Linked DNA regions of Caenorhabditis elegans. The protein of the gene in region 2 interacts with the protein of the main gene of each other region in a pairwise test. Each region holds a gene or a part of one and is shown on either strand. Other genes may lie near its edges.

Region 1 (3,280 bases), on a different chromosome or scaffold from region 2:
GCAAAATATCTCGTAGCGAAAACTACAGTAATTCTTTAAATGACTACTGTAGGTCGATTTACGGGCTCTATTTTCGAAACAAATTTTTGTTCGAATTGTGACAACGATATTCAATTTTCTTTAGTTTTTTTAAACGAAAAATTGGAGGAAAATCGAATATTGTTGTCACAATTTAAAAAAAAATCGTATCGAAAGACCAGCCCGTAAATCGACACTTCAGAAGGCATTTAAATAATTACTGTAGTTTTCGCTACGAGATATTTTGCGCGCCAGATATGCTGTGCAATACGCATTCTCAGAACTTAGCGTCTCCGTAATACTTGCAACGTTTTTCGTGTTTAACTATTCAAAATTGTGGTACTTTCTACTATTCAATGTCGCTGGTATATGAATCTGACTCTGCAAAATAGAAGCTCAGTAAAAAACTTCTAGAAAAAATTAATTTTAATTTGCATGACCGACAAAACCCCAATATTCGATCAAAATTCAGAAAATTCAAAAAACTTGGGAAAACATGCAATTTGGTTCATACATTCGCGAAAAAAATAAATCTGAAATCCTGAAAAGAAATCTCATCAGAATGCTGGGTGTAGGGGGGTGAATTGAATATGCGAGAGAGAGCGGACACAGAGAAATAGACGGGACGAAAATGGTAAAAACAAAGCAAGTGTTGGTTATTATGGTCAGAAGAGAAGAGAGAAGAAAAAAGGTTATTTTTAGAATTATAACCGTACTGCATACAAAAATGTGCGAAGGAGGAGTTTTTGGAACAGAAAATTCAAACGGAAAGAAAATATGAAAAGAGATATGGTACACTATTGAAGTTGAATTGAATTGAATCACAATCAACTTCGAAAAGGGCAGAACATGGCGAGAGAGCAATAAATTTAAAGCAAATTGCAGCTCCAGTTGCTGAAGAAGCTCTTCTTCTGTGTCCCCGATCCACCGACGTTCACACGACCCGTATTCGAAACTGATCCACCGGCACGCATCTCGTTCTGCTCCATCTTGCTCTTGATATCACGAGCCAGTGTGAAGAAAGCTTCATCAATATTCAGATTGGCCTTCGCCGACGTTTCCAGGAATTTCGTGCCGTACTCGATTGCGAGCTGCTCTCCACGGTCCCGCGACACTTCACGGCGTTCTTCAATATCACATTTGTTGCCGATGATCATCCTCTCGACATCCGAAGCCGCATGCTCTTCTATATTGCGAATCCAGTTTTTGATGTTTTCAAATGATCGCTCGTTGGTGATATCGTACACCAGAATGATTCCCTGAAAGATAAATTAATTAAAATTTGAAATTTTGTGAAATAAATTTTGATAAAACATGCCATAGCACCGCGGTAATAAGCCGTTGTGATAGTTCTGAATCTCTCCTGCCCGGCTGTGTCCCTGAAAAAAAATATTTATAAAATCGGATTTAATAAAAACTAGCTCACCAAATTTGAAGTTTGATTTTCTTCCCATCGAGCTCAATCGTACGGATTTTGAAGTCGATTCCAATTGTTGAAATGAACGAGTTATTGAACGAATCATCTGAGAACCGGAACAGTACGCACGTCTTGCCGACTCCACTGTCTCCAATAAGCAAGAGCTGTAAAACGATGTTTTCTTGACATCTTGGCATGCAAAAGTTCTCACCTTAAACAAGTAGTCGTAAGTTTTTGCCATTTTATTGGAGTGAGTGAGAGAAAAGCTCTGAAAATAGGAAAACTATAGAAAAGTAACGCGAAATCGAAGAAAAACAATTAAAATAAAGTGAGATTAAAGGTGCATTGAGTTTTTGACACTGATGGGTCCCGGAGCGAAAAGTACAAAAGCCTTTCATTTTTTTAAATTGTTTAAAAACTGTAATTTTATTTGTTTTGTTTTACTGTTTTTTAAATTTTCTTTTCAATTTTAATCGAAAGTTAAAAGTAAATGAGACTTTTAAATTGAATTTTCCAAGTTTCATGACCGCAAAAAATGAAAAAAAAAAAGAAATGAACAGATGTCACGCTGTGTGTGTGTGCTCAGTTGGTTTGAGGATAGCTGGTCAATATTGAAGGGTCATGTGAAGACGTATGTAATTAGTAATTCCCACACAATGTCCGCAAAGAAAGCGACAAATGAGTGTTGAGGAATAAAATTTGGAGGAAATTTCGCAATAAAAAGATTTGTTTTCACTGAGGGAATGAATCGATTAGACAGCTCACAAAGACATCGTGGTCACGGGCCTTTTTCAAAAATAAACTATTGGGAGGGGGCGAGGTGGTGGTATCGGTGCAGCAGGAAAACAAAACGCGCAGCGGCCACGGCCATGACGATGTAAAAACGTAAAAACGGAGCGTCGTTTGTATCCTCTTGTTTTGCAATTTGAAAAACTTTTTTTTAAACAAAAAATCACCTTTTTTCAGGTCAAAAAGTTCCAAGAATGGTCGATGGCGAGGGAATTACCCCGAAAACTTGCAGTGAAGACATCATTAAAGATCTTTTAAATGATGTGAAATCGTCGGAAAAAGTAAATTAATTTAAATTGTACTGGAAAATTTACAAATCGAATTATATAATTATAATTAATTATCATTATTTTCAGCCATTCTCAGTGGATAAACTAGCCGGATGCGATCAGACAGATTTTGTTGGGAAAAGGCCGAAGAAGCATCACAGGCACAAGTCGAAGAAAAGCAAGAAAGTTCGAAGAAGATCCAAAACTTGGTCTAGTTCAAGAAGTCGAAGCCGGAGCCGGAGCAGAAGCCGGGGGCGTAGTCAGGAGAGGAGAAGAAGCAGAAAGAGTAGGAAAAGCAGAAGCAGGAGCCGTTTAAAGCATAGGGAAGAAAAAATTGAGAAGAAAAATCTCGAAAAAGCGCCAAAAAATGAGTAAGTTCGAAAATAAATTCGAAATAAGTATTTAAACTAATAAAAATTACTACAGATTAATCCCGCAAGCGCCAAGTACCGAAAATGGCAAACCGAAAGAATTTAAGGAGCCGCCAAGGAAAGATGAGGCCGATGATCTACCGCTTGGCGCGGATTTCAGCACCCCTTTAGTGAAAAAAGAGACAAAGCTGGCTATTAGCATCACTACAGTTCTGCCAAAAGCCGAGAATAAGAAAGAAGTTGAGGATGGAGAAATAGAAGAAATTGCATATGGAGATGGAGATTTTAAAGAACCAGAAGGAATCGAAAAGAATTTGGAGAATAAAAATATATGTGAAAATGGAAATCTGGATAATTCTGAAAATGAAAAAAGTAAGGAGAAAGACAAGAACCGAAAAAAGGAGAAAACTGAAAGA
Region 2 (4,894 bases):
TTTTAATACTAGCCACCGCCTCTGCATAGTGCGAGATAACAAAACAGTTCTCTTGTAAGGGACACGTGGATGGGGAATACTTTTAATATTAATTGAGATTTGAGAAAAAACATAAAGTTTGACTGAAAATGATGCACTGAAAATTATTCAGAATACACTCAAAACTTTCTACATTGTTTAAAACAAAAATAATCATAACTGTCGGAAAAAATGATAATTGTTATTTTTTCAGAAAAAAAACTGTTCTAGTTTATAATTTTGAATTCAACATTGTAGATCTACACAAATTTCTAAATTTCATATTCAGTTCAATTTTAAATCAACCAAAATTGAAAAATACAAAAAAAAACATTTATGTGAATTTTTTGGAGACTACACCTACTGTGCTAAAATGGCCAAATATCACAGTAAAACTTTTTTAATGTTTTTTTTTTCAAATTTTTAGTCAAAAAGTTACGATTACTCAGTCACTCATAATTTAAGCCGTCAAAAAAAACAAATGTTTTTTTTCTACAAATTGTATGTATAAAATTTCGTTAATTTGATGTTGCCAAAACTTCAAGTGAAAAAATTTTTTTTTTTTTAAATTTTGTAACTAAACTTAAAAACTTTCAGCTAAACTTCCTATTTAAAATCATTTCTCAATTACCTAAAAACTCCAAACTAAAGAAAGGCTTTCGTAACCAAATCCAATTGTAATATTAAAAAAGTCGTCAGTAGTCATCGAGACGTGTAATTGACAGGAACGGATGGCGGCGGTCAGTTTTGAGGTGAGATCAAGCGATCTGAGGACAAAAAGGGCGAAGAAAAAAGGTCGGGGTCAGATATTGCCAAACACGCACGCAATCAATAAAAAGGATATAAATAAGGAAGAAGAGGATAGGTGTGGTGTGTGTGGACCTTCCTGTGCACTGTTGCGTAGTGGTGGCGGTGTTCCCTCCTCTATCTCTCTCTCTCCCTGTGTTCTTCTGTAGTATATCCCACACGTAGAAGACGTCGCGTGGAAATGGTGAGAGAGTGGAGGGTGGCAGAGAAAACGAGATGTATACAGGTTACCCGACCGCTTTAATACAAAACATGTTTTCCTGTGTGTTGCATGCCAATGCTGATACAATTGATGATGCGAGTTAGCAGTCGCAATTGTGATGAATACCGTCCTATTGATGGTAAAATTTAAGCTATCATAGTTTGGAACGATGATGTTTTTGGAGTGGGTCTTGCCGCGATTTCTACATCTATCTGAGTACAAAATGAAAATTTATGAAGTTTTACCTTCTGAAGCGCACAGAGAAAAGGGTTTGTACAAAGTTTCACGAGTTCCTGAGGACACGATAGTATATGGTAGCTCAAAGAAAACAGGATAAAATCTAAACCTAGAGGAATTTCTTTTGAAAATGTGGCAAATTTTACAACTTGTTAACACTATTCCGATTTCCAAAAAATCAAAACTCCGGAAAATGAAAAGTTCAGGTCTCAGTGAAACTTGTCTTATTATTCTACAAAGCCAATGTGCAAAAACTATTACTTTGCCAGTTTGTACCTTATTTCCAGTATAGAAAAACGAAATAGTAAAAGCAGCCGACATTGATCAAAGTTTGCGATGTCTTATGCTGTTAGCGTTTTTCAAATTAGCCAGAGGGGCAGGATAGTTCCTTCGGTACGCAAGCAATCTGGAGGCCACGAGTTCAAGTCCGGCCTCACCCCTAGGTACATCCAGCCACTATTGGAGTAATCCACAACTGGATTATCGGCCACAGTCCCCGGCTAGGACGTGGCTTAAATTATAGCCCAGCGGGAGCACCACCGGGCAGTCCCAGATCCGCAGTGCATAGCGCATGAAGAACGGATCGACCTTTTCTTTCAATTTATAATACATAGCAATATTGCTTACACCTTCCCCTGCATCTCAACTCGAACCAACTGTACACGACTCATCAAACTGTTATCAAACCCCACCACCACGTTTCGAGGATTTACACAAAGCCTTGACCTATTTATCGCTGACTGACCCCTCGGTCCCGTATATTTGCTCGTGTTGTCACGTTCGGAGCAGCTAGCCCCTGCAGTAAACTGCAAGGGAAAAAAACCAACCACGGTGAGTTCAACACGAGCAAACAGAACGTTGTCGTCCCTAACTTTGTGCGCGCGCTCGAAGATCAGTTCCTTGTTCCATTCTCAATCTCGGGAAAACTCGTTGCCAACATGCCAATCACACAATTTCCTGGTTTGGTCAAGGTTTCGGACACACGGCCAACGGAATGCCATCATGCTTGTGTACCTAGTGTTCCAAAATTAGATTCGTCCCCCCCCCCACTCCTCCTGTATGCATACAGGAAAACGCCGGTTTTCCGTGGCGCCGCGCCAGGATATTTTTGGAAACTGTCGATGACCAATCGGAGGAGAAGAACAAAAATGGCGCCGCGCACGGACCGAAACGGGTGAAGAGCTTTGTCTAGAGGAAAAAAAGAATGAAGAGAAGAGTTGGAACAATGATTTTTGATTAAAAGCCAGTCAAAAATTAATTGGCAAGAGAAAAGGCTAATCTATTGATGGATAGTAGGCCAAGTTCAGTTGATCAAATTAAAACTGGTAAATAAACATCAAACTCAAATCAAACATTGATGGAAAGCACCCTATAGATTACTTGAATCAAAGTCTTTGCACAGAAATAGGAAAAATGTATTAAATTTGACGTAGAGGATTAAAACGACCAATAATACAAAGTTTCTAAAGCACAAGAGGAGGTACAGTTCGATCAGTTAAAGTTGGAAGGCTATTAGAAAGATAGTTGAGTACTAGTAGATTAAGCACAATTGGGAACTTGAAAAAAATGAGTCTCAAATTTTGAATTGAGAAATGTTCTGACCATTTCAAAAATATAATTTCTAAAACCTCCAATTTTAAAAATGATCCCAAAATTCTTACCATAATCGCTCCCAGTCTAGATTGAAGAAGCTAGCAGTTTCTTGAAAAAACGACGTAGACTGATGATGTGGAAACACTGATGGCGTTCCGACAAGAGCCGGCGAGGGCACCATCGTGAATATGTAGAGTTACGGAATAAAGTGAAATATTTTGATGTTGGTAGCTGTTTTTTTTCTATTGTTGTTGTTGTTGGTCGTATGGGTGTTGATCGAGAGATAATCAGTCGAAAAGTGGCGAACAATCCCGAGTTGAGCTCAGCGGGGGAGGGGGAAAAATTTTGAGCCGAGAGCCGTGTTTTGCGCGTCCGTCGCCACTATTGAGTCTATATGGTCGTAGCGAGGAGGACGCGAAACAGCATACAGTCGAAAAGAGAACGATAGGCGAAGGGAGCGACGCGAGGCAAGAGACCGGGCGGCGATCGGGCCGTGCGCACAGTCCGAAGTAGGCGTGACACAACCAAACCGCGAGTCTCTGAATCCATCGCTTCTTCTTCCCACAGAAATGGAGCAAATATGGTCATGTGCTTTAGCTTCTTCAAGACATACTATTAGTTTTTCAACACGTCTTGGTTTCCGCGCTGGGTTTTGCTCTCCGGAGGGAAACACAAGGCGCGCGGGAGTGAGGGGAGGGACGAGATTTACGGATTGGAGCAGCGTCCACACTGATGTCATTATTTATTTATACGGTTATATAATACTATTTGTGAAAGCCAAAACAGAGGTGCAACGTGTGGCTAGTGGACTTTAATTCTATCTACTTTCAGAACGAGATTACATCAAATATCAAAACTTTGCTGGACTTCTTACTGTATAAGCTGGAAAAAAGTTATCCAATAGCTCGGTCCTATACGGTCCTAATTTTGTTGAAAATCATTTTCACAGACCTTCATCAGAAAACGTAGTTTTTCTACCGTACTATACCGTAATCCATTTTATTTATAGAAAAATTCCAATTTTTTCATATCTCGAGATCTTTTACTACGATTTTACCCATGACGAATCAATTTTCCACAACCCGACAAAAAAAATTATCGAAACCCAATCTTCTCTAATTTTAGAAAATTTCACATTTCCGCCGACGGACACTAACTGACTGAGAACCCGAGTAATTCGAGGCCCTGCATCTTATCGGTTTTGTTTTTATTTGTATACCAAATGACTAACTGAAAAGTGGCACAACGAGCTGGCCTGTTTGATGAGGAGATTTTGATATTAGTAGGTCGCAGAGGCGAACAAAAAAAAAGCAAAAACTTTCGCCTGCAAATATTTGTGGTGGTGGTGTTGATACCCTGACACCGAAATATGAATCAGAATCGAATGGGACGGAAGAATAGAGAAGAGTGGAATGGCGAACAAAATAGCAGAATGAATAGTTACTGGAGGTATGATATTACTGTACGTTCAACTAGATAAATCATATATATATATATAATGATAAAATTTCAGAATGTTTCAGAGTAAAATGTGCGACTTAAATGTAAAAATTTTCAGTAGTTTTTAAATTTTCCGGAAGAATCAAAAGTATCGGAGTAAGCTCGAAAATTTAAGGGGTTTCAAGGATAAAATATGAAAATATGGTTTTCTCCAAATTTTGTATCCACTACTGATAAAACACTACCGTACCAACTACCGTAACCTAAAAAAGAACCGCACAGTCAATTCATAAATAATATGTCAAAAGTTTGTCGGAAAACAGAAAACAGAAAATAAAAACAAAACCTTTAAAAAGTAAAAATTGAAATGAAAACAAACAGAGAGAGTGACTAATGAGGGAAACGGAATCAAAAAATGGTGGTCCGTTGCGACGAGAGAGTGAGAGACGGAAAAGAAGAGAGGGGAGAGAACGCGCGGGGGGCGCCTCCAACACAAGATCAAAAGAGGGGGGAGGTGTGCAATCGAACAGTATGCAAGTCTAGAATTGGTAAATGTGAGAGTAAAAAAGAGACTTTGAAATATAAGTAAGTGTATCA
Region 3 (4,276 bases), on a different chromosome or scaffold from region 2:
TCCACAATTTAAGTTTTATTGAAATTTTAATTTAATTCCAGCTTCTGGTCCAAACTTCTTCCACACATCCGAACTCGTCCTCTAACTTCTATAAACTTTGGCACCAACTTCTGTACTGGAATGGATCAAAATTGGCACTACCGCCTGAGCACAGTGCAGCTTCAGCCTCAAATTTTAAGCTCCTTCTGCCACCAAGTAATTGACTCTACAGGACTCACTCTTTTTGGCAGAAATCGAAAATTTCTGTAAGTTATGAACATACAAAAATTTACTCATTATAATTTTTTCCAGACTATTCACTTTCGATTCTGTCAACTACAGTACCCTGACCATAACTTGCACTACTTCCAATTCAATTGACCTGCTTCTGAATAGATCTGAAATTATGGACAAAACCGGAGATTCCACGTGGCATATTGACAAGCCAGGAAATTTGGAATCCATCAGCATCTTGACATCAAGCAACGACGAAACTGTGATCGAAAACTTTTCCATTGATTCTAATTAAATAATTCTAATTTCATAAAAGTCAATAAAACAAATTTTAATGCACAATTTTAGATCAATTTCTGGTATATATGTACGTATATAGAATAGATTAAGCATTGTACAAGAATTAAAAGACTAGACATTCTAGCACACGGATGATGCACATATAAAATCGGGAAAAGGTGGCGAAAGTGAAATTGGAAGGGCGAGTTGTGGATAATCAGCGACAGAATAAGCATTCCAGATGAATTATTACTTATCCTGCGTTGCAAAGAATGGTTTTGTATCCCGATTGAGCAGTGTGTGACATACTTTGCACACATTGGCTGGTCGATGATTTGGTCCACTTGGAACGGTGTCTTTCAGGCAGTTCATGCAGAATATCCGACCACAATGAAGACAGCTAAAAGATTTGAAAAATAAAAGTGACTGAAATATTCCATGAAAAAGTAAAATAGTGCTATCTCTTATTTTTCGCACTTTTTTAAAAATTTTTCCTTATAAAAATCTGCTATTTCTGGAAAACTATGCGTGATTTTTTATTTTTCGAAGCCTTTTTTTAAAAATATTTTAGGTCGTTTTAAGAAAGGGTACCGAACGCTTGATTCATAATCACTATATATTTTTTTTCTTTTTAAAATCTTCTGTTTGACATATTTTAATTGGAAAAGTGTAAAATTTATTTTTGAAAATGAAGAAAATAATTTTCTTGTAATTTTTTATCAGAAATTCAAACTTCCATTTTCAAAAACTTACTGAGGTTTAACTTTAACTCTAGCAAACGATGTATCACAATTTGAGCATTGATCTACATCATCATCCCATTGCCATCGTACTTCTTGTTCCGACTGTCGAATCTTCTCCAATTGAATTTGGAGGCTTTGAGATAATTTCACAAAATCTCTCTGCACAACTTCAGATGTGTCGAGTTCTTGTTGAAGACTTGTGCACCGTTGCTTGTAGTTCTGTGCCGTCTGTTCAACAGCGGCTCTCTCATTTTGAACCTGCTGAACCTGCGTCTCAAGTTCACCGACAGTTGTTTGAAGATCTCTAATTTGTCTGATATTCGAATCTTGATCTGCAATTGTTTCCGATGCAACAACCATTCGAGTGTTGATCTTTCCTAATTCCGACTGCAATCTGCTGATCTCTGCAGTAAATGTCACTTCCTGATCTTCTCTGTGCGCTCTTTCTTCTAGAATCTGAGCTCGCAGGACGGTGATCTCATCCTGCAGCTGCTGCTCGGTGTGCTCTTTTGCAGCTCGAGTTTCTATCAATTCTTCCCTATTCTTGAGACAAATAAATTGTAATTGATCAAGATCAGCTGGCATATCGATTTTCTCGGACCGAAGTTCTTGTGCTGATTTTCGTGTGGACCCGAGAAGCTTTTTGTACTTTTTTCCTAATGTAACAAAGTCATCGTCGGCTTGTTGCAGTTTGTCACGAGCCAAATTCAATTGATCAGTGAATACTTCTATCGATTTGTCGTGCTGAAATTAAGCTTTTTTAAAAGTTATTCTTTTTATTTATTTAAAATACCTTCGCACTGAGCTCGTCCAGCCGCTGCTCCGACTTGGCATTTGCCTTTGCCGCCTCGTTAACCTGATTCAAACAATTAGTCGATAATTCGTTCATTTTCTTTTCCAATTCTTTTCGATAGTCTCGTTCATTGCTCAAATCCAATTGATATCTTTCGTTCAACTCCATTGCCGCCTTCACTTCTTCCTTTAACTTTCGTTCGTTTTCCTGCAAAACAAACAAAAATCATTTGCATATTTGCCGTGTTCCCATGATTCTCACCTGTAATGCAGTCAAATTCACTTCATAATTCTGGCACATTTCGCATTGAAGCGTTGGATTCGGTGAGACTTGCGAAATCTTTTTGGACGGTATTGGCGGCTCCTGAAATTTAAGGGTCTTTGAATTATCGATTAAAATGCAACACTCTTACCTCTGCATTCACTCCGGCAGACACTTCTTCGCTAGCCGACGGTTCTGTCATTTTTCTAGAAAATTCTTGATTTATTCGAAAAATATATGAGTCATTTGATTAATTAAATAAAAAAGGTCTCATCACAATGTTGGCAAGGACTAGGTTGAAAACCTAGGCCATTTGGTGACACATTTAAAGAGCATTAAACATAATAATCGAGCAGTTTTAGTATTAATTTCATTAAACGACTTCCAAGAGAAAAGTAAATGTTTTCTGGAGTGAAATAAACATATTTCATTCTGTTGAGTTATGAAAATGTTATTATATGTTTAATTTATTTTTTATTCATAAAAATTTAAAAATTTGTAGTAAAAATCATTCTATTTATAAACAATATATCGCTCTGAAAAATCAAGATGAACAAAATTTTATATATAAAATTTATAATTATATTCAAAGTTCAGAACATTTCCAGCTATTGTAGTTTTCTTTCCAGGACCCAAAAAATGATTTAAGCGTTGCGCCTTGAATACAGTACTACTCTACGTTAAAAATTGTTCTTTTCTTCTTTTCGATTTCTAAAATTTTCCGACGTTTTTTTCCTGTCAATTTTTTTTTCACTAACTTTCCTCAAATAATTCCTGATCTTTTCGCTTTTCTCATGTCTTCTCCATTATCTTTTCCTTCATTTTTGATTCTTTCTATTAGAAACCTTGATAACTATCACTGATAACGCATTTTTGATAATCAGCACCACATATTCTTCTCTCGAACTTTCGCCCAGTAGAAACTAACCGTTTATCGCTTATAGAAAATCATTCCAGATTCAAATTTTATGCAACATTTTGTCTTATCTTTTTTCATTTTCACTCCGATGGTAGTAAAATATTGGGCTCAATTCATTTTGAGTTTGAATCATGACAAAGAAGTCGTTTCGAAAAAATCGTATTTCCGAAAAATTGAAAGTAGTGTGCGGCTGCTATCCAAAACATGAAATTGAGCCCAATACCAGCTATCAACCCAAAAAGGTTTTCACTATTCTTTCTTTGTCTTTTCATAAATAAGTTTATTTAATTTAGATGGCCGCTGCTCTGAAACCAAGTGCTCCGGAGATCCGCAAAGCTGCACAAGAGTTCATCAACTATCTGAATAAAGCAGTTACTCCATTTCATGGTAATATTTATTATTTATTTTTATATTCAAAAGTATATCAATTGCAGCCACCCAAGAAGTGAAGGATCGCCTTCTACAAGCCGGTTTCACAGAGCTTCCAGAATCGGGTCACTGGGACATTCAGCCAACCAGCAAATACTTTGTCACCAAGAACCGCTCTGCAATTCTTGCATTCGCTGTTGGAGGATCTTACAAGCCAGGGAGTGGATTCTCGATTGTTGTGGGACACACTGACAGTCCATGCCTCCGTGTCAAACCAATTTCCCACCAAAAGTCTGATAAATTCCTTCAAGTTGGTGTATCAACTTACGGAGGTGGAATCTGGAGAACCTGGTTTGACCGTGACTTGTCGGTGGCTGGATTGGTTATTGTCAAGAATGGAGAGAAACTTCAACACAAGCTGATCGACGTGAAAAAGCCAGTTCTTTTCATTCCAAATTTGGCGATTCATTTGGAGACCGACAGGTATTTGAAATTTGTCACTATCGTCCTAATTTTGCAATTTATTTCTCAGAACAACATTCAAACCAAACACGGAAACTGAGCTCCGCCCGATTCTGGAAACCTTCGCTGCTGCTGGAATCAATGCACCACAGAAACCCGAGTCTACTGGTTTTGCCGATCCACGAAACATTACCAACAATCATCATCCCCAATTCCTCGGATTAATCGCGAAGGAAG

The links. Proteins that work in one complex are often made in the same cells at the same time.
Region 1: the proteins of eat-17 (region 2) and rab-8 interact in a two-hybrid assay, tested with the Caenorhabditis elegans proteins (one study listed by BioGRID).
Region 3: the proteins of eat-17 (region 2) and rabn-5 interact in a two-hybrid assay, tested with the Caenorhabditis elegans proteins (one study listed by BioGRID).

Annotation. Positions count from the first base shown.
Region 1 is NC_003279.8:3,682,384-3,685,663, forward strand, and holds rab-8 (Ras-related protein Rab-8A), read right to left. Parts: upstream 1,704-3,280; 5' UTR 1,677-1,703; coding exon 1,647-1,676; intron 1,600-1,646; coding exon 1,445-1,599; intron 1,398-1,444; coding exon 1,337-1,397; intron 1,278-1,336; coding exon 888-1,277; 3' UTR 507-887; downstream 1-506. Other genes in the region: D1037.1 (Protein SON), read left to right, coding at 2,419-2,505, 2,581-2,864, 2,920-3,280.
Region 2 is NC_003284.9:16,413,803-16,418,696, forward strand, and holds the start of eat-17 (Rab GTPase-activating protein eat-17), read right to left. Parts: upstream 3,039-4,894; coding exon 2,926-3,038; intron 1-2,925. UniProt on the Caenorhabditis elegans protein: Rab GTPase activating protein for the small GTPase rab-6.2. Required for grinder formation, which is the feeding organ that breaks down food.
Region 3 is NC_003281.10:5,862,772-5,867,047, reverse strand, and holds rabn-5 (FYVE-type domain-containing protein), read right to left. Parts: upstream 2,496-4,276; 5' UTR 2,492-2,495; coding exon 2,441-2,491; intron 2,392-2,440; coding exon 2,290-2,391; intron 2,236-2,289; coding exon 2,029-2,235; intron 1,980-2,028; coding exon 1,246-1,979; intron 893-1,245; coding exon 742-892; 3' UTR 509-741; downstream 1-508. Other genes in the region: eng-1 (mannosyl-glycoprotein endo-beta-N-acetylglucosaminidase), read left to right, coding at 42-245, 292-508; dnpp-1 (Aspartyl aminopeptidase), read left to right, coding at 3,340-3,450, 3,502-3,595, 3,643-4,060, 4,110-4,276.